Linked DNA regions of Drosophila melanogaster. The protein of the gene in region 2 interacts with the protein of the main gene of each other region in a pairwise test. Each region holds a gene or a part of one and is shown on either strand. Other genes may lie near its edges. The genes, in order: MFS15, Hsp60B, kin17 and CG3107.

Region 1 (7,267 bases), on a different chromosome or scaffold from region 2:
ACCAGGCCAGGAAAGAGCTAACCATGTGTGTGTACAATGTATGATGGCATATGCCGCGGCCGAGGGATCGTCGTCACGTGAGGATCGGCCGATCGATCGGCCGGTTGCCCCGAAACAGGTAGTGTGTTTGTGCGTTTGTGCACATGTACCTTATACTCTATACTTTTGAGGTGGGGTACATATAGTACAGCACCGTCTCGCTGCATTTTACACGACAATAACAAAGAGGAGGTCTCACAAAGTCCAATGCTCGATTCTCAGTGTTCGCAGCCAAGTTTTGGTCGAGTGGGTGTCTCTGTATATGTACATATGTGATGTTACCACCCATCTCTCTCTGGCCCGCTGGCAAGTGCGTGCGTGAACAAGATTTTGACATAGTCAAAGTGTTTTATAAATAAACGCGCCCCACATACTTACATGGCTACCAGTTTGGGGCTTACGGAGCGGCCAACTCGCAGAGAAAGAGAGATTGAGAGAGACAGTGAGCTCCGCGCTCGTTGATTTTGATAAGGCGCCGCGAGAGAGCGAGACGGAGTAAAAGCGCCACATGTGAAGCACGCCCCAACCCCTCACCAACCGTCACCAATGCTCCCCACTTCGTAGACCCTATGGCATAACCAACTGATCCGATCTCTCTTTCCTATTACAGAGAAATTCTTCGGGGTGAGGCATGTGCAGTGCATCCTGTGCTTCTTCTGCCTCGCGATGAGCTACGCTTGGCGGGTGAACCTCAGTGTGGCCCTGGTGGCCATGACGGACAACAGCACCTCCCTAGCTCAGAACAACACCAATACCGGAGTGGCGCCAAGCGAACCCGGTTTTGATTTCTTTAATTCCGAGGTAAGTGCCGGAAGCTCCCAAACAACCGATCTCTAATGATTCGAAACTCTCCAAACGATCTGAAACTTCGTATTCAAATGTATTTTGAGTTGTTACTCATGCAATTTTTATAATCATTACAACAAAATATTACATTAAATCACATACACATACTATGTGGTTTTTGAGGTTTATCGTTTGAACTTGAAGTTCGCTTTTTCAAGCATATGTTTCCTATGTTTTGGAGGTTTCTAGAGCTATTCACCCGTACCCTATCTTACCAGTACTATTCTATTCACAGCGCTACTACAACTTCACCCAGAAGGAGAAGGGCAACCTGCAGGCCAGTTTCTTCTTTGGCTACATCGTGACCCAAGTGCCAGGTGGTTATATCGCCCAGCGCTATGGAGCCAAGACCATGCTGATGTACGGATTGGGTATAGCCGCTTTGATCACGATGCTCTCGCCGATGTCCCTGCAATTCGGATGGGTCGCCCTTGCCGTGATGCGATTCGTGATGGGCCTGGCCCAGGGTGCAGTACATCCGGCCACGCATGCGCTTTTGGCCAAGTGGTCGCCCGCGGATGAGCGAGGAATGCTGGGAACACTCTGCTACTCGGGCGCCCAGTTCGGAACGGTGGTGATGCTGGCCACTAGCGGTTTCATTGCCGACTCCGTCTTGGGCTGGCCGAGTATCTTCTATTTGGGCGGAGCATGCGGCTTTATTTGGATGGTTTTCTGGTACCTATTCTCGGCCAGCACGCCGGAGGAACACCGTCTGATTTCGCCCGGAGAGCTGAAGTACATTACGGATTCGCGGAGCGATGGCAAGATGCAATCCGCCGAGAAACTGGCACCCACGCCCTGGAAGGCCATCTTTAGTTCCCTGCCCTTCCTGTCTCTGCTGGTGGTGCACTGCACCCACATTTTCGGTTACTGGCTGCTGCTCATGCAGATTCCCACGTACATGAAGAAGATCTACCACGTGGACATCAAGAAGGGTGCGCTGCTCTCCTCCCTACCCTACATGGTGATGCTGCTCCTCAGCTTCTTTTTCGTCTGGCTATCCAAAGTGCTCCAAAAGAAGGAAGGCATGTCTCTGTCCTTCAACCGCAAGATTTTCAACAGCATTGGCCATTGGATACCTATGCTCTCGCTGATCGCGCTAGGTTATGTGCCGGCGGATAATGCTCCACTGGCGGTAACACTGCTCACCCTAACGGTGGGAATCAGCGGAGCCACCTATCTGGGCTTCCAGGTGAACCACATCGATCTGTCCCCGAATTACGCCGGAACCCTGATGGGCATTACGAATTGTGCGGCAAACGTGATGAGTGGAATCGCACCAGTGATCGTGGGACAGATTGTCGTCGATGAGGTGAGTTGATTGGCCCTGATATGGCAGTGAATCCCAATTAACTCTCGTTTTTATCTTTAGACAAGCGTAACTGAGTGGCGATTGGTGTTCCTGCTGGCTGCCGCCTTCTACTTCTTGGGCAATCTTCTCTTCGTCATATTTGGACGCACGGAGGTGCAATGGTGGGACTCCCCACGGGACAATAAGGAGGATGCGGAGCAGGGCACGCCTCTGGCGCCCAATGGCCAGGTCAAATAGAGCCTGGGATGGCATGTTCATACCGCATCCAGAATCATCCGGGCTGTTGTTTCTTAGATTCGTAGGCGTAGTTAGTTAGTTAGACACCAGACAAGCTGAAAGTTAACTTTAGTGACGATCGCGTGCTTCCATTAGCGATATTATACGGTAATTGCTTAGTCCTAAGGCAGCGTAAATTATTATTGTTTGCAGTATTTCCATAATGTACATAATCCAAAAAAAGAAAGAAAGAAAGAAACACAAACTATCAATCAAACCAATTAAACGTGCAACTTGAGAATACGTTCAGTGTAAATAGGGACAAAGCCCGCGGCGAGCTGCAGCATCAACTCTAGTAATTGTTATGTTTTAGTTTTAAGTTAGGCATTAGCGAAAACTTGTGATGAAAAAAGTAAACTAAAAAAGGCAAAAAATGAATAATGAAGACAACACTAGCCATGAATAAAGCAGCTCACTTCGCAGCTGTGAAAGAGTCAAAATGTAACGAAATCATTTGTGTTTTATTTGAACTGGGGTTTGAATTTGATAGTCCGACACTTGTTGCTATCGATTGAATTGCACTATCAACCCTAATGGAACTATCGAATAGTAGCGTTGAATTATGAGATTTCTTCACTAGTTGGTTTTGGTTATGTTAGTATCTTATTGATTTTAATAATAATAGTAATAATAATTAGAAAGACAGGCTTTTATGCTTGTTATGAACATTTTGTTTAACAATATACAAGTTTTAAACTGCAGTCCACCCTAATCTATCGTTGCACTTGTTGAAGCAATAGTGTCGATAGTGCCGCCTCTATCTAAGTGGGCAGCAGCTGGCACTTGTTGTTGTCATCAGCTGTGTTATGTTTAGACGCTAGTTCCATCCATTCCCAGCTGCCCCTAGCAAGTATCCAACGCATCACACAAGTTGGCTACGTGGAAGACACTGCACCTGCAATATGGTGCTGGGATGCCTGCCATGCTGCAATCACAACGGCTACCAGCAGATCGGGAACACGGGTGGGTGGTGACATGACCTTTTGGCCTTTGTTACCGCATCCGCTTTGTTAATTACGCGCACCTTTTGCAGGTCCACGGTTCGGAGTGCGTCATCTGCAGTGCATCCTTGTGTTCTTCGGACTGGCCGTGGCCTACTCCCTTCGCGTTAATCTCTCCGTGGCCATTGTGGCCATGACGGATCGCAATGCCAGCAATCCGGATTTTCCTGTATGTATGCAGATAAGAGCGCAGAATGAGTCAACAATTATTTTCGCTTGCATTATTTAATGAGGACCATAATTTAAATTTAAATCAACTTAAAATTTCGTAGGAATTCGACTGGAATGAGAGTACAAAGTCGTACCTGCTTAGTAGCTTCTTCTGGGGCTACGTGGTCACCCAAATACCTGGAGGTTACTTATCCGCCATTTACGGTGCCAAGTACATGCTCTTCTACGGCGTTCTTATCTGCTCCTGTTTGGCATTGCTAACACCGTTTTGCGCCGTAAACGGTGGCTGGACAGTGGTGGTGGTGCTCCGTGCGGTGCAAGGACTCTGCCAGGGCGTCATTTTCCCCTCGACACATACGTTCCTATCGAAGTGGGCGCCGGCTGAGGAACGTGGACGACTGGTGGGCTACACGTACTCTGGCTCCCAGTTTGGCACCGTCGTAATGCTGTCAGTTAGCGGATACATTGCCTCATCCTCACTGGGCTGGCCCAGCACTTTTTACATACCCGGATGCGTTGGTATCGTTTGGTCATTCGTGTGGCTATACCTATGTTCCAGTACGCCGGCGCAACATCCAACGATAACGCCAAATGAGCGAAGGTTCATTGAATCTTCTGGACAGGCGAGGAGACCATCGGATGCAGGACGCGAGGAACAGCCACGTCCACCGACTCCATGGTGGCGCATCTTCACTTCCGTACCTTTTCTAGTGCTCGTCCTGGCGCACTGTGCTAACAATTGGGGCTTCTGGACTTTGCTTACGGAGATTCCCACCTTTATGAAAAACGTTCTCGGCATGGACATTAAGAATAATGGTCCGCTTTCCGCGCTACCCTACTTCGCTATGATCCTGCTTACCTGTGTTTTCATCTGGCTGTCAGACACACTGAAACAAAGAGGAACAGTTATCCCCCTGGGATTCTCCAGGAAGTTCTTCAACACGCTGGGAATGTGGCTTCCCATGCTCGCACTTATCGGACTGGGATACATTACCGAGGGTGAGGCGAATGTCCGGCTGGCCATTGGATTACTAACCGCTGCGGTGGCCACCAATTCGGCCACTTATCTGGGCTTCCATGTAAACCACATCGATTTGTCACCGAACTATGCGGGTACACTAATGGGCATTACAAATTGTGCGGCCAATTTTATGAGCATACTGGCACCCCTGATAGTAGGACTAATAGTCTGGGATGAGGTAGGAAATGCGACCTTTTAATCTTTAATGGTTTTTTAAATGATTTTCGTTATCCTTTCCAGACAAATCCGGCGCAATGGCGAATTGTATTCTTCTTCACCGCGTTTGTTTACTTCATTGGGAATCTACTGTTTATGCTTTTCGGACGCACAAGGGTTCAACCGTGGAATAGTCGCCCCACAACGAGAACTCCGTCGCCTGGAGGTGGTGGAGAGCGGGATGAAGGTACTGAGGATCGAGGTCCGCTCATTGGCGCATAAGAAATAACAAAAAACGTGGCCTAAGGATTGGTTGTAGATGTGAAACATTTGTACCTTGAAGGCGAAGCATTCCTTGGAATTGATGAATCGCAATTAGTATCGTATTACTAGTTATACACGCAACACACATTTATGTCTACATATATGCGAAATATATATACATATATATACAATTTACGTATAAAGCATTGAAGCACTCATAGTTTTAATTTTTCGTTTCGTTTTTATTGGTATTTGTATTTGCATTGTTTGTACACAATGATGTACATATGGTAGACTTATATGCTGGCTATGTGGTATCCTGACGTAATGCTATCTCTAAGGTCTACATACTAATGGTTCTAACTGGAAATATCAAGGGTTTTCAAAAGAGCGCTCAATGCAGGTAAAGTTTCTTAATAGAAATTTCATTTGTGGTTATTGTTATCTTATTCAAAATTCGTTTTAAAAAAATGTATGGAATTATCTTCACTCTTCGATATTTCATTATTCTTTTAAAGTGCTTATTTTTAACATATTTTTAATTAAAGCTAAGTAATTACAGCGGATACGGTTTTGTATTTTGGGCCAATGCAGCTGGAGGAGCTATCCTCCATCGTCCTGGACCCCGTGAACCCCATCCGTATCCCCTCTGCCCCTATGTACATGATGAATCTTTTCAATTTCCGCTGCCGGAGGAGTGTGCTCAGTGCAGTTTGTGATTGGCGGGCAGATCTTCGGAACGGATGCATCGTCCGCGGTAGCAGATCTCCGTTTCGGAGGTGACTTTGGTCGACGTGGACGTGGCGTACACCACATGCTCCATCAGATCCTTGTGGAAGCTGTCCTTTTTGCTCTCCGCCACGGTGGCTTCCGTGGTGATGGCTTCATCCGTGGGCGCTAAAGTCGTTGTTTCCGGGGGAGTGACTGGACTGGTTCGTCGGATGCTTGTGTACTCCTGGCGACGCTTGCCTACGGCCGCTAGAGCGGCGGTCACTGCTTCTCCTTCACTTTCCTCTATGGCAAACAGATCGTGCAGTTGCTTCTTCACCTCGGAGAAGATGCTCGGTTGCACTTCCAGATCGTCCACATCCGCTGCCGTGTCCATGCGGCGTGTGGCGCTCTCCTCGCTCAAGGGAAGAATGGAGGTAATGGTGGCCTCCTCAACGTCTTGGGCAGTGGTGACCTCATACTCCTCGGGCGTCGTGGGGGCTGCCACTGTGGTAGTCACAACCAAAGGCTCTGTCTGGGCTTCGGTGGATGGAGTTAATGGAGTGGTGGTCTTGGGTAGCTCCTCCTTTTCGCTGGCTGCTTGAAGAGCATTGTAGAGCTGAGGTCCTAGATTCTGGGACTCAGCCGTCTCGAAATTTTCCGAGTTATCCGAGCCAGATAAGCGGTTCTTTTTCTGCCACTTGCCACGTCTGTTTAGGCGACTAAAAGTAGTGCTGGTGGTTTCAGTGGTCGACTCCTCGGGAGCTTTGCCCATCACTTCCTCTAAAAGCTCGGCAAAGGATTTCTCTGGCCTATAAATATGTATTTAGTGTATTGTTCGATATATAAAGCAACAGTTCTTACTTCAGATTGGGCGCCATAATAGTGGTGCGCTGAACCGACGATCCACCAAGATCAGCAGCAACATTAATATCATAGGTCTCTGGTTGATTGGTTGGTCCTGCGGTCACAATCTCCGGTTCACTCTCGAAGTTATGGGTTTCCGTTTTGTATTTGGGACTCAATGGCTTGAAGCTGTTCGTGTTTGAGTTGCTGTTGGCTGTTTCCGATGATGGCGACCACTGGGATTCCTGACCTTCCAGCTGGAAGGGTTGCTTGTACCGACGACGATGGGTGATGGGAGACTTAATGGGTTACATATGTTAAAAGGAGTTTTAATATATTGTATCAAACTCGCATACCACGGTGGATTCTTTTTCCTTTGTCTCTTGGTTGTTGTAGCGGCTCAGCTTGCGGAGATAGCTCTTCTGGGTAACGGGTTCGGATTCCTCCTCGGGCGCCACTGTCGAAGAGGAGGCAGGATGAGTTGGGCGACGCTGTCGCTGACGCACCTTAACCACTCGACGAGGTGGCAGACGGGAACGGATCTTAAGAAAGTAATACATTTAAAACAAGTTTTAAAATTTGAAAATGTAAGATCTTACCGATGGTCTATCCTCAGCGGGTGTGGTG
Region 2 (7,558 bases):
GTTTAAAAAAGTTTTGACACCGCGACGCGCATGCAGATTTACAGTCCGACTGCGATTGGGATTTTTTCTGTGTGTTTTTTTAGCTTTTCTGGTTTTTGGAAGCGGGAGTGGAAGTCATAGGAAGACTGACAGACCGGCCAGCGGCTTTTGGCATGTGTGGTTCGTGGAGCAGGGGCGACAGCCGTGACAACAAAATGTTCAAAGGCTTAGCAAAAAACCACAGAAAAACATTTGCCACTCAATTTTGTGTTTGCCGGACGAGCACGAGCTGCAGATTGGCTGGGATTGGATTGGACTATCCACTGCCCCCCACTTACCAACCTCCACCAACCTCCTGGTTGCTGGTTGTTAGTGCCGAGTGTATCTAGATTAAGGCGCGACAATAAGTATTAAGCATTAAGTTGTCTTTGCCACGGCGCCGTGTGAAGTGCCGTCTCCATTCCGACGACTCTGACACTCCGGGTCAACTGTTTTGTCCACACTCGTACGACACTCGTACCGATGTGGCACTACAAATCGCCGGTCGAGTGGGTGGCTGCAGATTTGTGGTCATGGGCAGGAGAGATCTTCGAGAGAAGAAGGATTGTTTTATTTAGTTTTTTTTTTTGTATGCCTAATGATGAAGTGGGAACGTCCTGAATTGATAAACCAAAGATGTTTAGTTTAAAGTTCAATAGTAGGTATAATTAATTAGATCAACCTTTGCCGTGATCTGCCCACCCTACCTCTTGACTTCTTCTTTTATTGGCTAAGTCTGACATTTTCCTTTTAATTTATGCCACCAACCTGGGAGATTACACAGATTGCGGGTTATGCAAATTATTTTGCCACCGTTGCTGCCACAAAGGCTGCCGTTTCGTTGGCTTGCTGCAGTTTGTGTCTAGCTTAAGTTTAAGTCGTTGTGTGGCTTTAGTTGTTTCGAGCCCACTGACAGCCAATTTGGCAAGTCAACCGCGGGGGACAGCGCGGCTAACGTGGCGTATGAGCGATGCCATTTAAGCGGCGTGCTAAAATGGTTTTAATTATTAGCCAGCGAATGTTTGTGCATTGTTCGGGGGGACTGATAAACAAACACAAACTGAAACGAAATCGAATTGTACGCTGCACGCATTCCCCGGCCGCTTCATTGAACCGTATAGGAATTTAAATTGCACAGCCACCGAAATCGAGCTACGGAGCACCTGCTCTGCGATTTTCGATCGGTGCCAGTTGCTTATACGACACGGTGGCCGGTCGAACTGGTGGGCTCCAGCTCCCAGCTCCCAGCTCCCAGCTCCCAGCCTCAGTCAAATCGAGTCAAAAAGTTAATTACAGTGAATGCGGCCAACGATTTTCATGCACTCTTGACACCGCCCGGTACGTGACAATATGAGAGGCACTCATTCCGCGACGCAGAGTTGGCCACAGTTGGGTCAAAAAAACTAGGGGGGCAAAGGCTAAATTGAGGCTAAGCTTTAGCTGCCTCATTACACTCAGAAATATGCACTAACAGCTAGCGTATGGCCAGAATTGAAACATGACACACACATTTTATATGCCCGTTAATTACTGTAATTCAAGATCAAAATTATTGGCCATTTAAAATTGTTGAACCTGATAATTTGCTATGACGACCACCAAATTATTTATTTTAGTGCAGTTCATCGATAGATCGCTCCCATCAGCTCAATCTGCACTTGGCTGCCCCAGATCCCAGATCCAGGAATTTCGTCTGCCTGGTACTTACGCAAATGCTCAGATTGAACTGCCAGTCTATCGTCTGCAGTCTATCCATTTCTCATTAAAACTTTCTTTGCTGTCTGCTCCACAATTACCCGAACGACTTCATCTGCTCGATCCACGGATCCATCCGCGGGTAATGACAGAGCCGGCAAAAAATCTGCCAAAACCAATAGGAAATCATCAGCCAACGGTCAGTGGGTTAATTTTGGCCCACCAAAAATACTGAAATGAATTGGAGAATCCCCGAAGATGGCCTGCAATTAATCATAGATTGAGGCTTATTCGCTATCCAGCGAAAGTAATTTGTAGCCGACAAGAGACCCTGCAGATCGCTTGTAGTTACGATTATCGCACAGCCCACCAGGTGGTCTTCCCACCATGGACACTTTCACATGTCGCAGAGTTGGCGCAGATGGGGAGAAAGGTTGCGAGAGGAAGAAGAGTCGTCGAACATGCAAATGCCTCATCAATCAGCTCCTCCGCCCTTCCCCTTCAAATCGGTGACGTGCTTTTGACACAAAACCCGGCTACTGTGCTACCGCTTGCACATGGCAATCAACGCGTCAAGCGGCCAGGAAACGGATCCCGATTCCGACCCCAGTTCCAATTCCCGTCTGCGGCACACAGAAAAAAGTTATACCTACTGAACTAAATGTGACATTATTTTATACGTATAGAATACGAGAGATAGCTCATATAAATCGCATTGAATTTATATGCAAACCTATTTCTAAACATTCATACCTAAGTGCAATTCATCGTGCGAAAGTAATGCCTTCTTGCGCGCTGTGCACCCAACATTTTCATCCCATCTCCATTTCCATCTCCGCCTCAAACTCCCCATTTCCATTTCCATTTGCCGTTTGGCTTGCAGCAAAATGTGTGAATTTCTTTAGTTTGCAGTAGGCAGCACACAATTTTTGACAGCTGCCTTCGAAATGGGAACGGTCAGCCGAGGAAAATGCATCCATCCTCCGGTGCAGAACAGTCGCACCGCAGTTCTGGGAAATCTGCACACGCTGGTCTTGTTTGTGGGTCAGCCTCAGCCGATGGAGGCGAATAGAACTGCAAATGGGCAGACTCCACCCAGAATGTCGGGGCTTATTAGCTGCACGCTAATTTATTCCGGCAAACAGAAGGCACGGCTTCTGTTGTCGAAGATTTCAGAGCCGCAGATCGCAGACGGGCAGGCGCCAGACAAATGAATGTTGTGAAATCTGGCGATTGCCTGGAAACTTGTCCGCAAAGAGAAAAAAGAAAAAAGAGAAAAGTGCTCAAGGAAAAGCAATATAAATAAAGAAGAATGGCTTGCACATGTTACATAAAACGAGAAGCTTAAAGATAATGGAAACAAAATTTGGATTTGAATATGGGAGTAGGCCTTGAACGAGTCCGTCTAGTCCGTCAGTATCGAGTCAACAACCTACATATTAGTTGCACTCACTTCGTGTCTGAGATCAAACGAAAAAATATTAGAACCAAAAGTTTTGAAAGTTTTTTTTTTATTATAGTTTCAAACTTAAGTGCAAAATGTTTCGGTCGTGTGTGCCCAAGGCGATTACCTCTAGTCGCTGTTTCGCGCGGATGTACTCGAAGGACGTGCGCTTTGGCTCCGGAGTACGGGCAATGATGATCCGGGGCGTTGATATTCTGGCTGATGCCGTTGCTGTGACCATGGGGCCCAAGGGTCGCAGTGTGATCGTGGAGCGACCATGGACCTCGCCGAAGATCACCAAGGACGGCTTCACGGTCGCGCGCTCGATTGCCCTAAAGGACCAGCACATGAATCTGGGCGCCAAGTTGGTCCAGGATGTGGCCGATAATACGAATGAGTCGGCGGGTGACGGCACGACCACAGCAACAGTTTTGGCTCGAGCGATTGCCAAGGAAGGATTCAATCAGATTACCATGGGGGCTAATCCCGTGGAGATTCGTCGAGGTGTCATGTTAGCTGTTGACGTCGTAAAGGACAAGCTGAAGGAAATGTCCAAGGCAGTGGAAACGCGTGAGGAGATCCAACAAGTAGCCACCCTCTCCGCGAACGGGGATACTGAAATTGGGCGGCTCATTGGTGAGGCCACCGACAAAGTGGGTCCAAGAGGAACTATTACTGTAAAGGATGGCAAGCGCCTGAAGGACGAGCTAAATATTATCCAGGGCCTGCGCTTCGACAACGGCTATGTGTCGCCCTTTTTCGTAAACAGCTCCAAGGGGTCCAAGGTGGAGTTTGCCAACGCCCTTGTAATGATATCCCTGAAGAAGATCACTGGACTCTCGCAAATAGTTAAAGGTCTGGAGCAATCCCTGAGGCAGCGTCGTCCCCTGATCATCATAGCCGAGGACATCAGCGGGGAAGCCCTCAATGCTTTGGTCCTGAACAAGCTCAGGTTGGGCCTCCAGGTGTGCGCCGTCAAATCGCCCAGCTATGGACACCACCGCAAGGAGCTTATAGGCGATATATCCGCTGCCACGGGAGCAACTATTTTCGGCGATGACATCAACTATTCCAAAATGGAGGAGGCTAAGCTGGAGGATCTGGGTCAGGTTGGCGAGGCTGTGATTAGCAAGGACAGCACCATGCTCCTGCAGGGCAAACCCAAGACAGGACTTTTGGAAATGCGCATCCAGCAAATTCAAGATGAACTGGCGGAAAAGCAAATCAAGCCAGAGCAGCGGGATCGTCTGCGCCAACGCCTCTCCGCCCTCACGAAGGGCGTGGCAGTGCTGCACATTGGTGGAGGCAGTGAAGTTGAGGTGAATGAGAAAAAGGACCGTGTGGTGGACGCCTTGAATGCCACTCGAGCGGCCATCGAAGAGGGAATTGTCCCAGGTGGCGGTACGGCCTTTTTGCGCTGCATTCCCTACCTCCAGGAACTCAAAACGGAGAGTGCAGATCTCCAGAAGGGCGTCGATATCGTCTGCAATGCCCTGAGGATGCCTTGCCAGACCATAGCTCAAAACGCCGGAGTTGATGGCCCAATGGTGGTGGCCAAGGTGTTGAATGGCTCGGAAGACTACGGCTACGATGCCATGGGCGATGAGTACTGTCGGCTGGTCGAGAAGGGCATTATTGATCCCACAAAGGTGCTGCGGACCGCCATCACGGATGCAGCTGGAGTGGCCTCTCTTCTGAGCACCACCGAGGTGGTTATCACCGACTCCCGGAACGATGATCTTTTGTCCAAGTTGTCAGGAGCTGGCGGCGGAATGGATGATGGACTGGACATGAACATGGGTGGCTTAGAGGAGCTGGCAGCCTTAAGTGGATTGGGTGGCATGGGTGGTATGGGAGGCATGGGTGGTATGGGAGGTATGGGAGGAATGGGAGGTGGATTCGGCGGAATGGGCGCTGGTGGCGGAATGAGCGCTTCTGCCAGCAATGACGGTCCCACTGCCGAGGAGATGAATGAAATGGTCAAGGCTATTCCCGGCATGGAGCAAGTAGAGGTGCGTGACATTGACAGTGGGATGATGTAGAACCCGCTTCCGTTATCCGCTCCAGCTCAAATCGTTTCTATAGTTCAAATATCTGTTGAGTGTCTAAATTTTATGTGTTCATCTAAAATATAAATTGACAATCGAAAACGAATTGTATAAAACAGTCGGGAACCCTTCCAAATGACTTGAGAAAGTGAATTATTGGCCTTTTCCCTACACCAGCAGTTTTCTGGCCAAATATCTTTCAACCGGTTCATTATGCTGGTCTGCAAAAAGCTACACTTCCTTCACACTTTCGGTTTTTAATTGCAGCCGAAAATTTGGAACGGCGACCGGCAGAGCGAATCCAGCTGCAATGCGATGATCATTTGCATAAAACAAACAGCAATTTCTCACACATGTGAGCCGACCCTCGGTTTTTTCCCCCGTACTTTGCATGGTTTGTGTTTGCAGATTTCATTTGTGGCCCGCAGCTAAAAAAGCGATTCGTTACATGAGAGTGAGTGCGCAAGAAGGGGGGCCTGAGGCTGGGAGCCTCCACAAGAGCGTCACATCAAACATGCATCAATAAATAAGTAATTCCAATTTGCAAATTTTTCATCGAGGCCCGCAAACGAACCGAAAATGGTGGACGGACCCATCGAGCATCGAGCGTGGGCCAGGGAAAAGCCACAGCCTCTTGGACCTCGCGAATCGGTCCTAGTCAGGTGGCTTGGTCTGGTCGTTTCGCGTCGAAAAGGAAATTGTTCATCTGGCAAACATATTGGGCACCATCGCCAAGGCACAGCAACAACTCCATTCGGCAAGTCGGAAAACTCTGAGCCAAAAACCAAAAACAGACGAAAGGCAAATAAAAAGGCTATCGCTATCGCTCTTGGCCAATCTGCATGTGCAGGCAAGTCTTGTTTTTGTTTTTCCTTCTTTTTGACTGCGTGTGAGACTGCGAACAATGACAACAATGAGCGAATCATGGGCACTTTGCCTGGGAACCCCTCTTGTCGTCGACTTTTCTTGAACGTCTACTAAACAAAAAATATTTCTATAGTACTCAGAAAAAAAAAATGTTATCAGCCAGTCAATCTAATTTACACTTGCAGAGTTAAGGCCTGACAAGCCATCAAACTCGTTTTTTAGATTATCTTAATGATCACATTTAAACACCGCATTCATAAGCGATACCTCGTTATAAACGCTCAATTAAATTATTCAATATTTGTTTTCTTTTTTATTTATTATGCTGTTAAATGATGCTTACAACTGATAAGCGAGAACTTCATGTAGGAGCGTAGGTGCCAAAATTTTTGCAAGTGCACAACGCCGAAAGGCCAACGAGTGATTGGAGCACAGCAAATGGCATTTTTAGCTTTTGACATTTCACGCGTATGGCTCCTCAGTCTTCGCCGTCATACACGGCGTATGTGTGATGTGGTACTATAATACTTTTCGCTCTCTCCCGTTTTGGTCTTTCCCGATCGGGACCTCAAAAACGGGCGGCGGTGCTTTAATGTGACTCGCGTTCCGACTTCGAGGCTAATGCCATAGATTTGAGTGGCCGACTAATTCACGACAATTTGCACTGATCGCCGATTACAGATGGGGCTTTCCGTGTCCAGCATCCCAGTATTCCAGCATCGACTTCCTTCTGGTCGATCGGCCTACGCTCACTTCTCACTGCTCTTTACCACAAATGTATTTTTAATTACATTGGCAAACATTTTCGCGTTCTTTGGGTGGTGAAGAACAATGGTACTGCACTGGGAAAATCTCGTTAGGAAATCAGAGATCATAGATCTTTAAAAGCTTTAAATATTCGGCTAAATAGTCAAATATTCTGTGTTGAAATAAGAAGCCATAAATCACTGATTTTATAACAAACAAAAGATGACTTTCTTGACATATTATTAAAATGCATTTCGTGATTGTGTTCGAAGTGCAGTCTGTAGATTTTTTCCTGTGTGTCCGGATGGAAAGGGGATGGCGTTGAGAATGGGATGGGCTGGCCTGAGGACGGACCGGGGATGGATTGTAACTGGTCATGTGGCAGTGCATCATCCACTTGGCCATTTGCCTGATTGCGGTATTTTGCTTCGGTCAGCTGGGTGGTGGAAGAACATATCGGCAGAAGTAGCAGCCAGAAAATAGCATATGGTAAATGGCAAATGTCCGCATCGAATGCTGCGACTAAAGTGAGTATATGTTCGCAGTATCGATTTCAGGCTACCGCTTCTTTCAGTTCCTTGGGATCCCGACTCCCGATTCCTATTCGTCTTTAAGCAATGGCATCTCCATCTCCGTCTGCTAGTCGCTGCTTTGCCTGGCGCGTAAATTTTCATGTCGCTTTGCGATTTGCAAGCATTTAACAAAGTCAAAACAATTTTAATGCACAGACCGGGCAGTT
Region 3 (6,858 bases), on a different chromosome or scaffold from region 2:
AGCTACGAGTACAATATTTACCATAACTACGGAAAGAAGGGTTCCATGGTCAACTACACACCCTACTCGTGCGCCAAGATTATCAAGGATGTGGCGGGGCCGGGCGATTGCCACGGCTGTCCGTATAAGAACATGGATCAGGGCTCGTTGAAAACCAAGCTGTCCTCCTATGGCCTGTCAGCCAGTGCCATCGACGAGGTGATGTTCTTTGTGTCCCGCGGTCACTATCAAATTGGATGCGGCAAGTACTTCCAACTTACCCACAATTCACCCGTCGAGCCGAGCATCAATCACCCCAACAACTACTTCGAGGAGAGCCAGATAGCGATGGGCAACCGGCAGAAGCGCGCCAATGGTTCTGCTCCGCCCAAGGCCAGAATCCGTCCAGATATCAAGGGCCATGGGGATCGGTCCATGCTGATGGGTGACGATGACGATGAGTTGTGGCGAATCGCGGAAACCCAGGAGCGTATCATGCAGAGCCAAAAGGACATATCCGAGGCCTTCAATGATGATCTAGATCTTACGCAAATCGATTACTAAACGTTGTACAACATAAATTAACTAAGGTACATATATATTTAAGCATCGTAAATAAGAAAAGTTATATTATTCCATGGTTCGGACTTCACCTCCGGCACAAGTAGCACGTTTTAAGCCTAGGATCAACAGTGTTCTCCGAGTTTCGGCCGTAAGGGGGCCAGCCATTGACATCTACGTAGTAGATGCCCCTGGCTTGGGGATTCATTCGATAGCCCATCGGGGAAACTATGCCAGCAGAACAATCCCGTTTTCTTAGCTCATCCCAAGAAGCGCACTTCTTGCCCATAAAGTTCTTCTCTTGGTGTGGATATGCACTCTCGGCGAAATACTCAACGGCTCGGGTATGAGAGCATCCGATGGTTAGGCAGCCTGGCTGGATGGGATGTGCTCCGCCGGGATAGAAGTCCACATCACCGAGGGGTCCACGCTTGGCCAAAATACCAATGTTGGTGTGGATTATGTCCACTAGCTTGGCATCGCCACGCGTCAATCCTGGCAGAATCTTTTCCCGCCTGAAACATGGCTTGGCCGGATCCAAGCCAGTTATCCTGGGTATAAGTTTTCCGGTAAGCTTCTTAAAAGTCCGACCAGCAGTGCCCATAATGTGAGCTCCTAGTGAATGTCCTACAAAGAAATCAGAACCAGAATTTATGGACACAAAGGATTCCTTTATGAACCCACCAATCAAGTGAATATTTCGAAGTGGGGTCAGCTCTATAAGGTGGGTCAGACCAACTCCAATATGCTCTCCAATTAAATCCGTGTTCAGCGCCGACCACGCGTAGAAGGTGTCCACATAGTCAGCCGCATCTACAATCTGAGATGGAAGCCTTAGATATGAACTTTCAGAATTGATTCACGAGACGAACCACAAAATTCACATCGCCACGACACATGAATGCCTTAGAGATCATCGAAATGGCCGAGGATTCGTTTACGGTGTTGGTCCATCCGGTGGCCAGAATTACCACCTTACGTCCCTTGCTGAATCGAGAGTGCTTCCACAGCTTCGAGGCCTCCAGCAGGGGCACACTGTAGTTCTGGCACGGCGTCATGTACTGAAAATGCATCTTCCTTATGTCCGGAGTGATTTGCGCAGGGATTCTGTCCATAAAGAGGGTGGAAGAACCTGGCATTTAGATCACAATAAAATCAAATAACTTTTTATATGTTGATAAACACAGGACGTTATCCTTACACACAGCATCAATTATGTTGGAAGCCAATTCAAGTGGAGCAGCTGTGAGTATGTTCGCCTTAATGGTGGCGATGTCAGTTAAAAGTCTAGGCACTGCATCCCACCAGCTTCGCGTCAACCTTCCCTCTTCGTCAACAGCTATATCTCCCAATGCTCCGAGGCGTAATAGGATAACAATGCCACACAGAATCCTCATATCCCTTCTTTAGCACACCGATGCTGGAACTAGTTTAAGTTTTGCAAGTATAGAAATTATCGCTAGTAAAGCGGCCATTGTTCGCTGGTTTTATTGTTCCCAAACTGAACTCGAAAATATTGTTTGCATACCCACTGAAATATTCGTACACTGAGTAAATGAGAGTGTTCTAGTTATTTTCATTAAAAAGTCATGTTTTATTAACCCAAATGCTGAGCAGTCCAAATTTAAGTAACGAACGTATTATGTGCAGATTTTTGTCTAGTTCGATTTCAGCCTTTCTCCGAAATGGTTAAGATTTTTTACTTACATATATATCAAATTAGGCATAAAAAGGTACAACTATAGAATTTAACTTAGAAAAGCGCAGCTAGGCGCCATGTAGTTTAGATATATCTTCGTATTGCACGTTGTCTACAATTCTGCCTTTGAGAGGACCGTGCAATATTTCCACGCTGACTGAATATCTGCGCTCGTCCAGTTTCCTTAGCAGAGCCTCGGATCCCCGATAAGCGCCATTAACCACCATGACAGGCTTGTCCAAAGCGGGGATTACCGTCTCCAAATGAGCCTGGAAAACAAAAAAAAATAAAAACACCTGGGTAAATATCCGTTATAGATTAAAATTGGGTTTCCATCTTACTTGATCCACTTTTAGCTTTTCCCCAGTCTCCAAGAACTTGATTTTGCCCTGATATCTGTCAATTACGTCCAGGACAACCGCTTTTTGTTTGAAGAACTTTTCGCCCATGGATTTGGAAATAAATTTGACCACGATACCCTTGTGCAGCCAGTAGTCCTTGCGGTTGGCACGCTCCTTTTTGCTTTCCTCCTGCTTGATGATCTCGTCCAGCACCGACCGCGTTTGGCTGTCTCCAGCCACGGATTTGGGTTTCTTGAACACCTTTTCTTCAGCTTCAGGGGCAGGTCGCTTGGCTAGAGCGGATTTCCCTAGCACAGTGTCAGGCTGGAACTTTTTCTCAAGGCGAATATCAAGCTTGAGTGGTTCGTTCTCTTCGCGCTTTAGCTCGGTGAACTTCTCCTGGCCTTCGTCCTCCTCGCCGTCCTTGGCCTTGGCATTTTTAATCTGCTGCTCAATGAAGTCGGCCATCCGCTCCTCGTCGTCCTTCTCCATCTTCTCCTTGCGATCAGCCTTCGCCTGTCGTTCCATGGCCTCTGGACTGCGATCAATGTAGGTGACGAACCAGCCCTTCTCCGTCTCATCCGCTATCACTTGCCCAGTCCGGCCCAGCCACTTCACGTAGTCGGACAGGGTGAGCCATCGGGTGGCGTTCATGTGGATGTGCTCCTTGTGGGCAATGTACTCCTGGTAGATCTTGTTGGCGCTGGTTCGCTTCGTGCCGAACCGCCGGCGCAGCAACTCCATGTAGCCGTCGGAGAACTCTTTGCTGAAGCTGTGCAGGAATTTGCCAGGATTGTCCGCAAAGAGGAGCAACTGGCGCTGGTGGGACTCGCTCATCGTGTGGCACTTGAAGCCGTTTTCATCGCGGCACTGCTTCTCGCACATCTGGCAGTACCAGCGCAGCTTCTGCAGACCCTTCGATTTCATCTTGTTGGCGAGGTACTTGGGCGTACCTACCTCGGCGCGACCCATCGTAGCGTCTTTTTATGTGCGTGGTTTTACAAATAATTTCTCAACAAAAACTTATTGTTTTGATCTCACGTAAAGGTATGACCGCGCTGGGGTATAACAACAATACCCGTGAACACTTTTATCGATAGTTACTGCTGGGGGATGTTCGTGTGACCAGGCTAATATTATTTGTTGATAGCGGTAGAAAATGAATTTAAAAAACTTAATATTCATTTCTTGAAAGATTTTTATTTAAATATTCAAAATAGAGATTAAGCCGAGTTTACATAATAAAGGCGTATTTTTTATCACAAAGTAATAACTACAATGAAATGTACAATTGAACGATTTCCATTAATTAGCTTAATTCACATAGAAAATAATTCAAAGCACAATTTTCTCGCCCAATCTCTCAATTTCGTCCAAAATGAAGTCCAACTCTTTGCTTTTCAGGATGGGAAAACAAGTGAAGACCATGCGAAAGAAGTTGCCCAGATTTTTAGCTTTAAGAGGCGAGTAACCAATCATCAAAGTGCCGCTGTGGGCCATTTGCTCCTTAATTTTCGGGGCCACCTTTAAAGGAGCATATAAAAATGTGAGCTTAAATGGTCTATCAAAGCCATTGTTATTCACTTACAGTGTAAAGTCGACTCCACCATTCAGGCGTCTCCTCCTCGCTGGACACCCTCATTGCTTTCGGAATGAACCAAAAGCAGACATTGGAGTACTCGTGCTCCGGGATCACCAGTCTAAAGCGATCTCCACGCTGGCGCAGCTTGCCTTCCAGCAACCTGGCGATGTGGATGGCGTGGTCCACCATGAGTCCATACTTTCCATATCCGCGAGCCTTAAGCATTAGCCAGAACTTGAAAGCGTCGATCTTGCGGCCGCACTGGACACTCTTGTTTCCCGTATCGTAGGATACATCATAGAACTTGTCCTGCTGGAACAAATAGTGCGCCTCGGTGCTGTTGCATCTTTCCAGCAGACGGCCAGATTCCCTGGTCAAAAAGAGTGAACACTGCAATGGAGCGCCGATGGTTTTGTGCGGATTCCAGGAAAACGAATTCGCCCGCTCGAGGCCGGCAATGAGCGATCGGTTCTTGGCGGAGAGTAGTGCAGCGCCTCCCAGACAGGCGTCCACATGGAGCCACAGACCATGTCGTTCCGTCACATCCGCCGCACCATTGATATCATCAAAGGCACCCAACACAGTGGTGCCTGCAGTACAGTTGACAAAGAACGGTTCACCGCCACGTGCCTTTGCCTCTGCGATCTTCGCCTCCAGGTCGTCCAACAGCATCTGACCCCGCTCATTGGTCCTCACCGACACACAGTTGTAGCTGCCCAATCCCAGCCAGTTGGCCGCCTTCACGAAGCTGTAGTGCGACTCGTCGGAGGTAAAGAGCACCAGCGGTCGCATTCCAAACATTCCAGACGTCTTCACCTCGGGCGCGATCTTATAGCGGGCCAGAACCATGCCGTACATGTTGGAGGTGGAGCCACCGGGCGCAAAGATGCCATCGCCTTCCTTGTATCCCGCTAACTTGCAGATGGTCGCGATCACCTCAGTTTCGATCAAGCTAAACACGGGCGCAACTTCGTAGGTGTATCTGAAACAAAAGTTTATTGTGTCTTGTTGGATACCTCGGTTAAAAGTCTGATTTTGGTAGTCCTATCTAGGAAATCTCATCTAAATGATTAATAACTTGCAATGATTGTGTATGAACTCTGCTTAATCCCCATTTAAATTAATCGAAAGGGGGGGGGGGGGGTTATGAAACATACATGTAGTACTTTGCAATCTCCATTACATAGCGCAATTATCTGTACGTTGAACCCCGACACCACTTGTAGATTGGAACACGAGATGCAATCAGCGGTCACTCATATAGACAAGACACATGTGTGGAATAAGGCGCAGACTTACGTGCTGCCGTTCATGGCCTCGGTGACCAGGGCTCCTGCCAGTCCAAACGGGTCCAGCTGGCCAAAGAGCTGATTGTGGAAGCGGCCGTGCGAGGTTTTCACAGAGTAATGGATCACCTGCTGGCACAGCTCCTCGATCTCCGCGAGCGAGCAGTTTTCCGTCTCTCGAACCTTCAGGTTAATCAGTTCCTGGAAGTGATGGTGCGAAATCATGTAATCTCAAGATTGTTATAGAACAGCGACTTTTGCAATAAGAAAGTATATTAAAGATTCAACATATTTCTAAAACGTTTTCTGTTTCGAACTAATAATATCTTTACCCAGAAAAAACCGACCATAATCTATGAAATAACAAACAATTCAATTATAATTAAAACTATCAGATACTAGCATGAGTGTGCTCAATCAGGAAGTGCTACTATCAATTGACTCACATTTCGTCGGGCAAGCCATAGTACAATTGCTACAATTTGCGGTCGGGTGGTCAATTTTCGAATGAACTCTTCCATTAATCAGTTCTCTGTTATCTCTGGTTATCTCCACATCGGCAGACGCCGAATCGTCTATCACTTGCTCCACTCACCTTAAGTTTGTCTGGCTGCAAAAAGGGGACTATCTTCTGCTTGTCCCATTTCTGGGGATCCACGCAGAAGGTATCCTCCTTCCGGAGAAGGTGGAATACGTTCTCCAGGATCTTCCAGTCGTCCATGAGGCCATCGCGAATCTGGTCAACAGTCTCTGCTCCATCCACTGATTCAGCCATACTACACTCGGTCGGTAGAAGTTTCCGTATCTCAATTGGCCAGTAAAAGGCTGATTATTTTTGGCTTTCGAGATCCGAACCTCTTCCGTCGACGATTCAATCAGAAGTGCCCCGTCCGACTGCAGCAGATTGTGTTTTAATGTTATCTTGATCAAATTCTCATCAAGTTGTAAACCCTCGTCTTCGCTCGCACTCAAATGGAAATACAAATGATCGGGGCTGTAAGAACACACATACACCTCCACGCTTGTGCTCTTTAGAGTGAACCTCGTTTTATTACGAAAGCGAAATAAAAGTGATATTAAAGTCGTGCATATTTAGGTTACTTAAACATACAATATATATCAATTAAGCACGTGCCTTATTAGCTGATTCGGCTTATCTCGTAACCAAAATCCTGCACAATTCGTTTTCTTTTCATCTCGACGCATTATCGTCAAATTCAATCGAAATTTGCATATTTACCCTATCGATTAAACAAGTTTCATGTGCATGCCACCAGAAAACTTGGTCAACTAATTGGATGCCCAACACCGCAGAACTTAGCTGAGCTTACTTTTTGGAAGTCTCGCTGCAATGATTACTTACAAATATTCAAACGAGTACGGATACCTGCACGACACTGCGGCTCAGAA
Region 4 (9,915 bases), on a different chromosome or scaffold from region 2:
TCTGGATGCAGGGATGCAGCCTAGCAACAGCGAAGACGGGATTCAAGAAGAGTCAAGGGCTGTCAGGTCGAACGGTAATTAATAGACCTTGCGGAGAGAGCGTGAACTAACGGTATCGCGCTGGACCTTGGACTCGAGCCGGGCAAGGACCCGGAGGTCGAACGGTAACGGTGAGGTCTTTGGACGTGCAGAAAAAGGACGCACCGAGAACTTACGGTAAATTAATTGGATCTTGTACCCAGCGGGCCGAGCTCAAAAGGGGAAATAACGAGATCATTGCGGTATATAAAGAGGCGGCGCAAGTGCAGCTTGAGGCAGTCAGTCACAACAAGCGAGGAGAATACCGGCGTCAGGACGCGGCTGCGCAGTCGGACAGTCGGAACGGAGTCTGAAGGCGAAGGCTAGAACGTCCGAAGGAGTCAGTAAAGATCGAAGGACGAGCTCAGAAGGACGAGCAGTGCAAGTGGAGATTGATCCTTGTGGTGGAAGCCGAGCGTTGCCTTAACTCGTGGACGATACACCTTGCCCCTAACATCCTAAGCCAAGTCCAAGGCCGAGCGTTGCATTAACCCGTGCACGATACACAATGCCCCCATAACATCGTTATCCCATTTGAACCTGCACTTCGTCCGTTGTCAGGCACACACAGTACAAAGAACCCAAGGCGTCACGGGAGCAACGCCGCGCAGCAGACGGCGATCACTGGAGGAGCCAGCTGTAATATACTATAATCGAACGACTTTAATCTAAAACTCTGATTTTTCCTTGGTCGGGCAATAAAACAAATCAAAGGTTTGTTGGGACACGCAAACTCCCTGAGCTGGCCACTGCAACTCGTAGCGAGTAGAACCAAGAAAAACAGTTCGTTACAAAGTAACAAACTATTACAACAACATAAACACGTAAACAAACATCAGCACTCAAACAAACATGTAAAAATATTCGTATTAACACAATATAGCATAGCAATGATTTATTTGTAAGATCTTTTTTTTTGTAATCTTCCTCTGACTTGCTTAGTGGTAGCCGTCTACAAGAATGAAGAGCCGATAGTCCCGCTTCGGCAATATCTGTATTATCAATGGAGTCTTCAAGCTGGCTCACGTGGTTGACCTTGGAAAAATGCGACAACTTATGGACGAAATCGCTTAAGATGCCGCTTCCTTGTAGGAAAGGAGGATTGAGATCTTTTTTGAGTACTCATCTCAAAGGCGCAACGGAGTGTGTTAACCGGATAGCCAGTGCCCCCGTGAGGAAACCTTGCTCGATAAACTGGCTGGGATCTGCATGGAAATGGATAGCTGGGAATCCCGACGCAGCTGACTGGAACACAATTCTGGCAACACAGAAGGTGCCCTTAAAGAATAGTGACCAACAACTGAGGATTAACTCCAGACTCTTTGACGCCACCCACGAGTCAATTACGAATAAACGAGGCCATCGCAATAGTAATTGTCATTGATGGGGACATCTATGTGACGACTGCTATCCTAAACTATGCTATTATCCTTACCAACCAAGTCTCGGAAGTCACAAGAGCTTGGCAGCTAGATAAGACGCTTGCGAGGCCTTAACAGTTGGTGGCCGAAATTTCACGAGCTACTCAAACTGCCACTTGATGTCATTGCCGGCCGTCCTAACACAAGTATCAGCCAACGCCAATCTCTGGAGTAGATGCGTGACGTGAGTTTAAAGATCTTGGAAAAGATTTCCGAGGTGACCGGGGAGTTGTTGGCTTCATTTCTTACGCAGGCAGCATTGACTCTGCTCATCGTTTCTCTCTTGTATTTCCTGTGAAGAAAATTGACCTCTACCTATGGACTACAGAAATTAGGCAATATTACCTTGTTCCCGGATCCGCCTGTTACCTCCGGACAAACCAAGGCTACTTAATCTGGGGGACGCAGATCTTGAAGGGGGAGGAGTCAGAACGCAGCACTTGCTTCCCCCTCCCAACCCCGTTCGAAGCCACTATTGCAGCTGCGGGGTAGTTCCTACCCCACCTCCATCGCAACGTCAGCACCGGACGACAGGTCAACGACCCTAGAGCTCTGTAGCGTACCGCTGACGACGCTGCGCGTGTGACTGCAGCGGAATGCGATGACACCGTGGGATTTGGCTAAGCGGCCGGCAAAACACTGGCCTGGCAGTCGAATTTCGGTAATGGAGCGTAGCTAACTTTTGAATCCAACTGTGTATTTAATCAAATTAATTAAGTCTGACTGAGTATCTAAATAAATCGAAGATGTTACTTTGATAAAATCCAATTTCAAAGAATGCAGGGAAATATTCCAAGGTAGTATTATTACCCTTAGCTTAAATAATATTTATTGGTTCCAACTTCCTACATTTGGACTTCGGTGACAGCGATGAGAGTGTAATTGAGAATTTGACTGACTGAAATGGTGAAAAGGTTACCGTTTACTAGTCATGGGAAGTATTAGGAAACCCCGAGAGTCTATATATGAAACGATACATGTGACACTTAGCGCATATAAATCAACGTTTTTTCAAAGGTATATGATTAAAAAACAAGGGATCTCTTTTATATTAAATTTCCTGATTAATCCCATAAGTCCTTTGGACATATATGAAAGAAATAAACCAATAAAATAAATTGAATTTTATAAATTTATTACATTTACAACTAGTTAATTATTTATTATCCATTTGTGACTAGTTTCAAGCTCCAAATTTGCATTGACTGGACCCAAAATGCATTTTCCATAATGCATGGACTCTTTTCCAAAATAATTTTCTATAGCGCATTGCAGATCATCAATAGTTACAGAGAGCATTCGGGAGCGATAGCTCTCAAAATCCTCTTGTGACACTTCATAAAGGAAATAATCGATGCCAATATTTCCAGGTGCTATTGGAGTGTCTAATTGCTGCAACACACCAAGCTTCGACTCAAAAAGAGACTGTTGGTCAATTACATTTTGATTTGCACGTAACCATTTATAAGTTTCATCAAAAGCGTTAAGCGTTTTAGTTGAATTTGGATCTCGATAACTATAAAAACTGAAAATCCCGTCTGAGCTGATTTTCGCACCAGCTCCGTAAGCGCCATTCTTCTCGCGAATAACAGGCAATAGATATTTGGCTGATAGCAATTTTGCCAAAACTCGCAGTGTTGGATGGTCTTGGTGGAGATATGGGACTGTGAACAAAGCTTTAGCACAGTAATTAACTGGTATGTTCATCACGTATTGTTGACAGCTAGGGTCCAAATAATGGATATTTCGACTTGTTTGTGTTTTCCCAAATGTTGGCAGGCTCTCCAAAAATTTTTCGTAATTACTTATAGCCGATGGCTCATAAGATTGTGTTGTGTTAATGGCGCCACGCATATTATCCTTGTTAAAAACTTTTGATGCAATTGTCGACAATTTATCACATATATCTACCGTGCTTGTAGAATGTACAAAATTTTTCATAAAGTCTATATGATCTACCCCATATAGTAGCGATTTGAGTTTACCAGCATCACACACTTGTGATGTTGCTCCCAACATAGCATATAAATGACCAGAACTAGCCACTCCCACAGATATATATGATATATAATTTTCTATAAGCATTTTAAGTCGCTCCGAGTCATCAAACCTAACATTTTTAATCAACTCTTGGCACAAGGCAAACATCTCTGGAACATTGTTATTAAGTGCATGTGTGTTTATCATTACGCTTAGACTGTAACTTTTTGAATCCCTAACATCTTCAATTAAGTGTAACTTAAAATCAAATCCACCGGTTTTTAAAAGGATGTGCTTATCGAACTCCCGATAATTATAGTTTGTGGTGCCCATTGCACTAATAACATTGCAAAAAAGCGGCATAAGCTGAGTTTCTTCATGACTTAGTCCTGTTATATTAAACATGCACTTAAAATAAGTAATTTCATTGGTCGGAACCTTGCAAATCTGGGTCCGAACATTTTGAACATTTTGTATGAATAGCTTAGGCCATTTTGGTGGATCTCTTACATCATTCATTGTCAGACAAGGTAAAAGATCAGTATTTGACTCAGCCTTCTGATATGAATCCAATATTAATCCTCTCTCATATATTTTTTCAATCTTAACTTCATCCAAAAGTTTTACTTTTTGTTCTACCAACTCCAACTCGGCCTGTTTGAATTTATCCTCATATGCCTCATCAGGTGACATAGTTAATGTTAGTCTATGATTGTTATTGGCGAAATATTTCTCTATTTTCTCTTGGAAATATTTTTTATTCTGGCTTATGCTTTCCCGAAGCCCTGATATCATATCTGATACGCGGAGATTACTGACTACATCGCCATCATGATTCCATAATGCTGTGGAATTAAAAAGCAAAGTATTTCCGAAGTTCGGATTCTGGTGCTTTAAAGACAACTCAAGATTGTGCAGAACACTTTCAACATGCTGGGAATCAAACCCGTCATTCATAGAATTAATAATGGTTTTGTCAAAAATTTCAATGCATTTTTTGAAGTCTTCAACTCGAAGGTCTTGTAATCCAACGACGAAGGTTGTGTCCTTAGTATCCGATGAATATCCAGTGGTTTGATTGTATCCACCGGAAAAATTTGGTTCTATAAGGTTTTTGTAAAAAGGGGAGTTAGGCCCACGAATAAGTACCTCAGATAGCACGTGTAATTCAAAACTTTCTTGTATATTGGTTGCATCACACATCAGCAGTGCAATAGCAATTTGGTTCTGTCGATCAATTGTTGTACCCATGTTATCTAGTCTACTGGATATATGTACAAGACGAGGCTGAGTCCAACGCTCTTGCTGACGTATTAAACTGTAAGAGTTGTCAACCCAGCTTTGATCTGATAAATACTCCTCGTCGAGAAGTGCGAGGGTTTTACTTGCATCAAATAATCCGTAGGAATATATGCGAGCATTACTTGGATGATAGTATTTTTTGTGGAATTCAACTAAATCGTTGTATGCTAACTTGGGTATTTCCAATGGATTTCCGCCAGACACATGTCGATATGTGTGATCAGGAAAAATATTATTGAGTAAATTCTGACTAAATACCTGCGCGTTTTCAGAAAACGCACCTTTCATTTCGTTATAAACAACTCCTTTGATTACAAGCTTCGATTGTTTATCGAATATATCTTTGTTTTCTAGCCTCCAGCCCTCTTGAAGAAAATCGAAATACGCCAGGTTTGGTCTAGAAAGGAAGATATTATTACGAGATATCGTCAATTATTTACATCTTACCTGAATACGGCATCTAAATAAATATGTTGCAAATTCCTAAAATCTATCTCATTCATCGTCGAAAAAGGATAAATAGTATAATCTGGACCAGTCATTGCATTCATAAATGTCGCTACCGAGCGGTTAAGCATTTTGAAGAAAGGGTCCCTGACAGGATATTTTTGTGAACCGCACAACGATAAATGCTCTAAAATATGAGGTAGACCAGTAGAATCAAAGGGCGTGGTTCGAAAATTAATGGAAAATACGTTGTTTGAATCATTTCGGTCGATATGCCATAATTCTGTACCCGTGCGCTCATATCGAAAAGTATAGGACGTAAGTTCAAATTCAGAAATGTGTTCCACACGTTCGCATTGGAAGCCATGGTATGTCTTTCCCTCTTCATACTTGTATTTTCTTTTCTTAGTTACATGTGGCATGCAACCAAATTGTCGTGGAGATTTGGGCTGCTTGGTATTGACGCCAGAAATGTTCTTATATGTGGACACCGACTTGAAATTTATAAGGTGATTTCTCAAGATTTTGTATTGTGGAGACCACATCTTCCACCGCGATAACATTCCACCTTTTAACATGAACTCAGCACCATCCGTGCTGAATCGCTAAATACAAAAGAATATATAAAGAAGTATAAATTTGTATATCAAAGAATCATACATGTGTTTGTATTTACAATTTAATTATTAGTAACTGCCGAAGAAAGCCACATCCGACCCTTTTTATAAGGGGTTTTTTTTTCAATGGGGTTCAGTTGGGCTACCTTTGATGTTAGCTGATGAATAGCTATAATAGCTGAGCAGCGATACCAAATCGTTGAATTTTATTTCGAAAATCAGTGGTCATTTGTACACCGTTTGCTTCGCTAGTTTAATGGTGCTCATTATCGGCCTTCAATTCAGACTAGACTTCGCAGGGTGCGCACTGTAGAAAATACATATGGGGGCCGTTGAGGCCAGTGTAACAGAAGAACGGAACTCATCTATTCGTCACCGCGCGCAGGAGTTACACCTTTGCCCAACAAAATTGTGAAGGATCTTCGCTAAGATTTGGGTCTCAAAGCGCACAAAATTCAGATGGTTTAGGATCTGAAGCCAACCGGCCATCGTTTTCGCTGAGAATTCTTCAACACAATCAGCAATTTTACCGGCCGCATATAGGCCGACACCAATCCACAAGCATACCATGAGCAATCGATGCACCTAGAGAAATGCACAATTTGGTGCGGTTTATGGGGTGGTGGTATCATAGAGCCGTCAATGGGAAATGCTAACGAGCTATGCTCGACGAATTTTTGTTTTTAAAAGTGCGTGAGAATAGTCTAGAAAACATTTGGTTTCAACAAGACTGCGCAACTTGCAACATTGCCAATCAAACCATCGACTTGTTCGGCAACAGCAAAGTTTTTTAGCACTATAGAAATTTACAACACTAATGAAATAACGAGAGAATATCAAAACAATTTTCAAAAGTGTGGAAGTGGCAGTTTCGTTTGGTTTGTGAGCGTTAGAATGTTATTGGCGACATGGGTCAATAAACTTGGGCTGAATTTGGATAAAGCTTAAAAACGGCCTTGATGAAAAATCATTCCATAGATCTAATCGGCAAAAACTTTAAAAATAACTGAACTGTGACAATCATCTTGACCCTGAATGCCACAATTTAGTGTTTCTCATGCAATTGCATGTATGTACGTATGTAAGCGTGTATATTACTGCTTAATAATATACATACATGATAAATATGCACGTATACGTAGTGTTTCGGGCATAACAATGCCTTATTGGCATTAATTTTTGATTCAAACAGAAATGGACCTAAATAATTTTACTCACCGGCGTATAGAAAAAAAAGACAATTAAAATCTAAATTATTACATTTTATTCGACTTATAATTGAGTCAAGCTATCGTCGATGACTTAGCTGCGATGGGGGAACGGTGGAAAATGGTACACTAGGACGTTTTCATACAAATTATGAAATGCTTTGAATGAAAAATATAATGCTAACAATTTCATTTAAAAGCGCGGTCTGCGCTAAATGAGTATTCAATATTATTAATATCCAGAAATTAACTAACTCACACAATCATTATCTCTTAAGCAATCCCAACATCTTAAGTCAAGGCAAATCAACTAACTCACACAATCATTATCTCTTAAGCTATCCCTACATCTTAAGTCAAGGCATCACTCTTATCTTGAAAGCTTTAGGCTCTTGCATTTCTCTCGGCAGATTGTATACTGGGTGATAGTCTTAACTTACATATGTATATTTTATCGTTATATTTAGGTAAATTCAAAAAATGTTAAGAAAAGAAAGATCTATCTATATACAATCTATGTAAAATCTAACTACATATCTGTTACATCTTGTGAATGCATGGCGCATAGCTTGCCTATGCGAACTCCATATTCTCCAGCGTCCTGCATCGCTGCTTCAGAAACGATGCCATCGATTCACACACTGGAACTGAATTTTTGAAGTCTAGTCCACTCTGTATTGCCCTTAGCCACAGAATATTGGTAATGTTTGCCAATGTTTGTAATGTTTTGTAATATTGCCAATTCTTTAGCGTAAATGTCATCCGATATTGCGAATGGTTTCCAGTGCAGTGTCTCTCAGAAATGATACTAAAAGTTGTAGATTTTTAATGTTTTAATGTTTTGTCAAATTGTGGCTATTATTACTATTAATTTTTAGATATTTTCAAGAAATGAATACACGTTTTATAGTAGAGATTTCGAACGGTTATAATTCATTTCTTTAGGTTAAGCTTGGCATCGAATCGCGCATACATAGGTTACGAAAGCGAATGTTAATGAGCGACTTAATTACAGAGCAAACAGCAGAACGGTAAGGTGCGAGAGCACTAGGAAGAGAGAGAGAGAGAGAGAGAACGTAACCGGAGATAGTGCAGCACAGCTGATATGCAATTAAGTTTAAATGTGTCTTCAAAGTTCGCATGTTTACAAACAACAAGTTAAGGTATTGCCTTCAGCTCAGAAAGCCAACACGGATCATTTAGATGCTTATTCTAAATGCTTTTCTGAGCCCTCGTAAATAGATAGTTAGATCTTTCTTTTCTTTACATATGTATGTGCGCTTTTGAAATTTTAAAATTTTTTGAAATTCACTTATAAATAGCGAAAAGTTAATTAAATAAAAAAAACGTTCTCATGTTACTATTCCACCAACGACGATATTTTGACGCACATGTCAAAAAATTAGAAATACCGATGTGACATCTTGAGAGGACGCAATATGTCCTAATCCAGCACAGCATATCAAACGTGAATTGGAATTTTTTAACAATTTTAAAACTCCCAGAATTATGTTTTATTTTTGAACGATCATAAATCATTGAATAAAGAATTGCGAATAGCAATTTGAAAGTATACGATTTAGTAGCGACATTAAGATACAGATGAAGATAAAGACCGTCATGTACAGGATTCTTTGCCAACTGGTGAGAGCTTAAATTGTCATTATTGTCGATGTTCCAGATTCTCCGCAGCCAATAAAGGGTACGCCCGTTGGATGAAAAGTATGTAACTGGAAAAGGATGCGTTACGAAGTATATATTTTCTTGATCAGAATCAATAGCCGGGTCGATCTGGCCATGTCCGTCTGTCCTACTGTCCATGTGAACGTCGAGATCTCAGGAACTTTAAAAGCTAGAAGGTTGAGACTCAGCATAAAGGTTCCAGAGGCATAGACGCATGTGTTGATATTTTTTCACAATTTATTAGTTTTGTCAATTTCTATCGATCTGCAAAAAACAAAACTACCACCCCCGCCTTTGAAAAATTGTTGGATATTTTTTCATAATTTTATTAGTCTTGTAAATTTCCATCGATTTGAGGGAAAACGTGCCACGCCCACTCTAAGACCCTAAAACCGCCCAAAACTGCCACGCCCACACTTTTGGAGATTGCTTTGATATTTTTTCATAATATTATTAGTTGCTCACTCTAACGCCCTAAAGCTGCCAAATCGGTCACGCCCACACTTCTGAACAGTTTTTAATTTTTTTCTCATTTTATTCCCCTATATCGATAACGATATCCCAGAAAAATGATGAAATTTTGCGTTCGCATTCACAGTATGAGTAACAGTGAGTAACGGGTATCTGATAGTCGGGAACTCGACTACAGCGTTCTCTCTTGTTTTATAATGAAATTTTAGATACATTGTCGATGCCAAATATCTGAGTACATGTTTTACTCATGTCCAGTGCTCACTGTGGGGATCCTTGTTACGCTACGCCTATCTAGACATTGTAAGTAAAATGTCTCGCCTTGGTGATACCGCCAACCACATGAGTTCTGCTGCTTTCTGCTCATTGACTCCTTGGCATCCATCAACATCAACACCTCTTTGTCGCATTTGCACTGGAAAGCTGCATCCAGTGGATTTGCAGCTGCTATACAATCCTTAATGCCGTGTCGCTGAAGCAGATTCTCAATATACTGGCTCTGACTTAACATTATCGTGCCCAGCTGGCCTTCTCGATATACTTCAAATCCAAGAAACATATGCAACTGTCCGTGACAGTTTGACGGATTGAGCGAGTTTCCATTTTATGCTTATGAGATCATTTTTATCTTGACAAGCTAGAATTAGATCGTCCACATTAGACCGTCTTTTGTACATGGATTAAACCCAATACTACGCAAAACTCCAT

Evidence for each region.
Region 1: the proteins of Hsp60B (region 2) and MFS15 interact in a two-hybrid assay, tested with the Drosophila melanogaster proteins (one large-scale study listed by BioGRID).
Region 3: the proteins of Hsp60B (region 2) and kin17 interact in a two-hybrid assay, tested with the Drosophila melanogaster proteins (one large-scale study listed by BioGRID).
Region 4: the proteins of Hsp60B (region 2) and CG3107 interact in a two-hybrid assay, tested with the Drosophila melanogaster proteins (one large-scale study listed by BioGRID).

The regions. Positions count from the first base shown.
Region 1 is NT_033778.4:18,792,646-18,799,912, reverse strand, and holds MFS15 (major facilitator superfamily transporter 15), read left to right. Parts: upstream 1-3,234; 5' UTR 3,235-3,375; coding exon 3,376-3,436; exon of another isoform or gene 3,437-3,506; coding exon 3,507-3,643; intron 3,644-3,746; coding exon 3,747-4,844; intron 4,845-4,906; coding exon 4,907-5,104; 3' UTR 5,105-5,295; downstream 5,296-7,267. Other genes in the region: MFS14 (major facilitator superfamily transporter 14), read left to right, coding at 650-840, 1,121-2,197, 2,258-2,434; CG15080 (uncharacterized protein), read right to left, coding at 5,790-6,606, 6,659-6,939, 6,997-7,182, 7,240-7,267.
Region 2 is NT_033779.5:725,256-732,813, forward strand, and holds Hsp60B (heat shock protein 60B), read left to right. Parts: upstream 1-3,106; 5' UTR 3,107-3,252; coding exon 3,253-5,199; 3' UTR 5,200-5,309; downstream 5,310-7,558. UniProt on the Drosophila melanogaster protein: Prevents misfolding and promotes the refolding and proper assembly of unfolded polypeptides generated under stress conditions.
Region 3 is NT_037436.4:20,353,591-20,360,448, reverse strand, and holds kin17 (kin17), read right to left. Parts: upstream 3,643-6,858; 5' UTR 3,553-3,642; coding exon 2,581-3,552; intron 2,509-2,580; coding exon 2,308-2,508; 3' UTR 2,118-2,307; downstream 1-2,117. Other genes in the region: Prim2 (DNA primase subunit 2), read left to right, coding at 1-543; CG5665 (uncharacterized protein), read right to left, coding at 629-1,360, 1,413-1,672, 1,742-1,937; CG5618 (uncharacterized protein), read right to left, coding at 3,916-4,104, 4,169-5,144, 5,462-5,649, 6,044-6,223.
Region 4 is NT_033778.4:5,087,790-5,097,704, reverse strand, and holds CG3107 (uncharacterized protein), read right to left. Parts: upstream 7,125-9,915; 5' UTR 6,963-7,124; intron 6,702-6,962; exon of another isoform or gene 5,905-6,701; intron 5,834-5,904; 5' UTR 5,807-5,833; coding exon 5,229-5,806; intron 5,179-5,228; coding exon 2,652-5,178; 3' UTR 2,615-2,651; downstream 1-2,614. UniProt on the Drosophila melanogaster protein: ATP-independent protease that degrades mitochondrial transit peptides after their cleavage. Also degrades other unstructured peptides.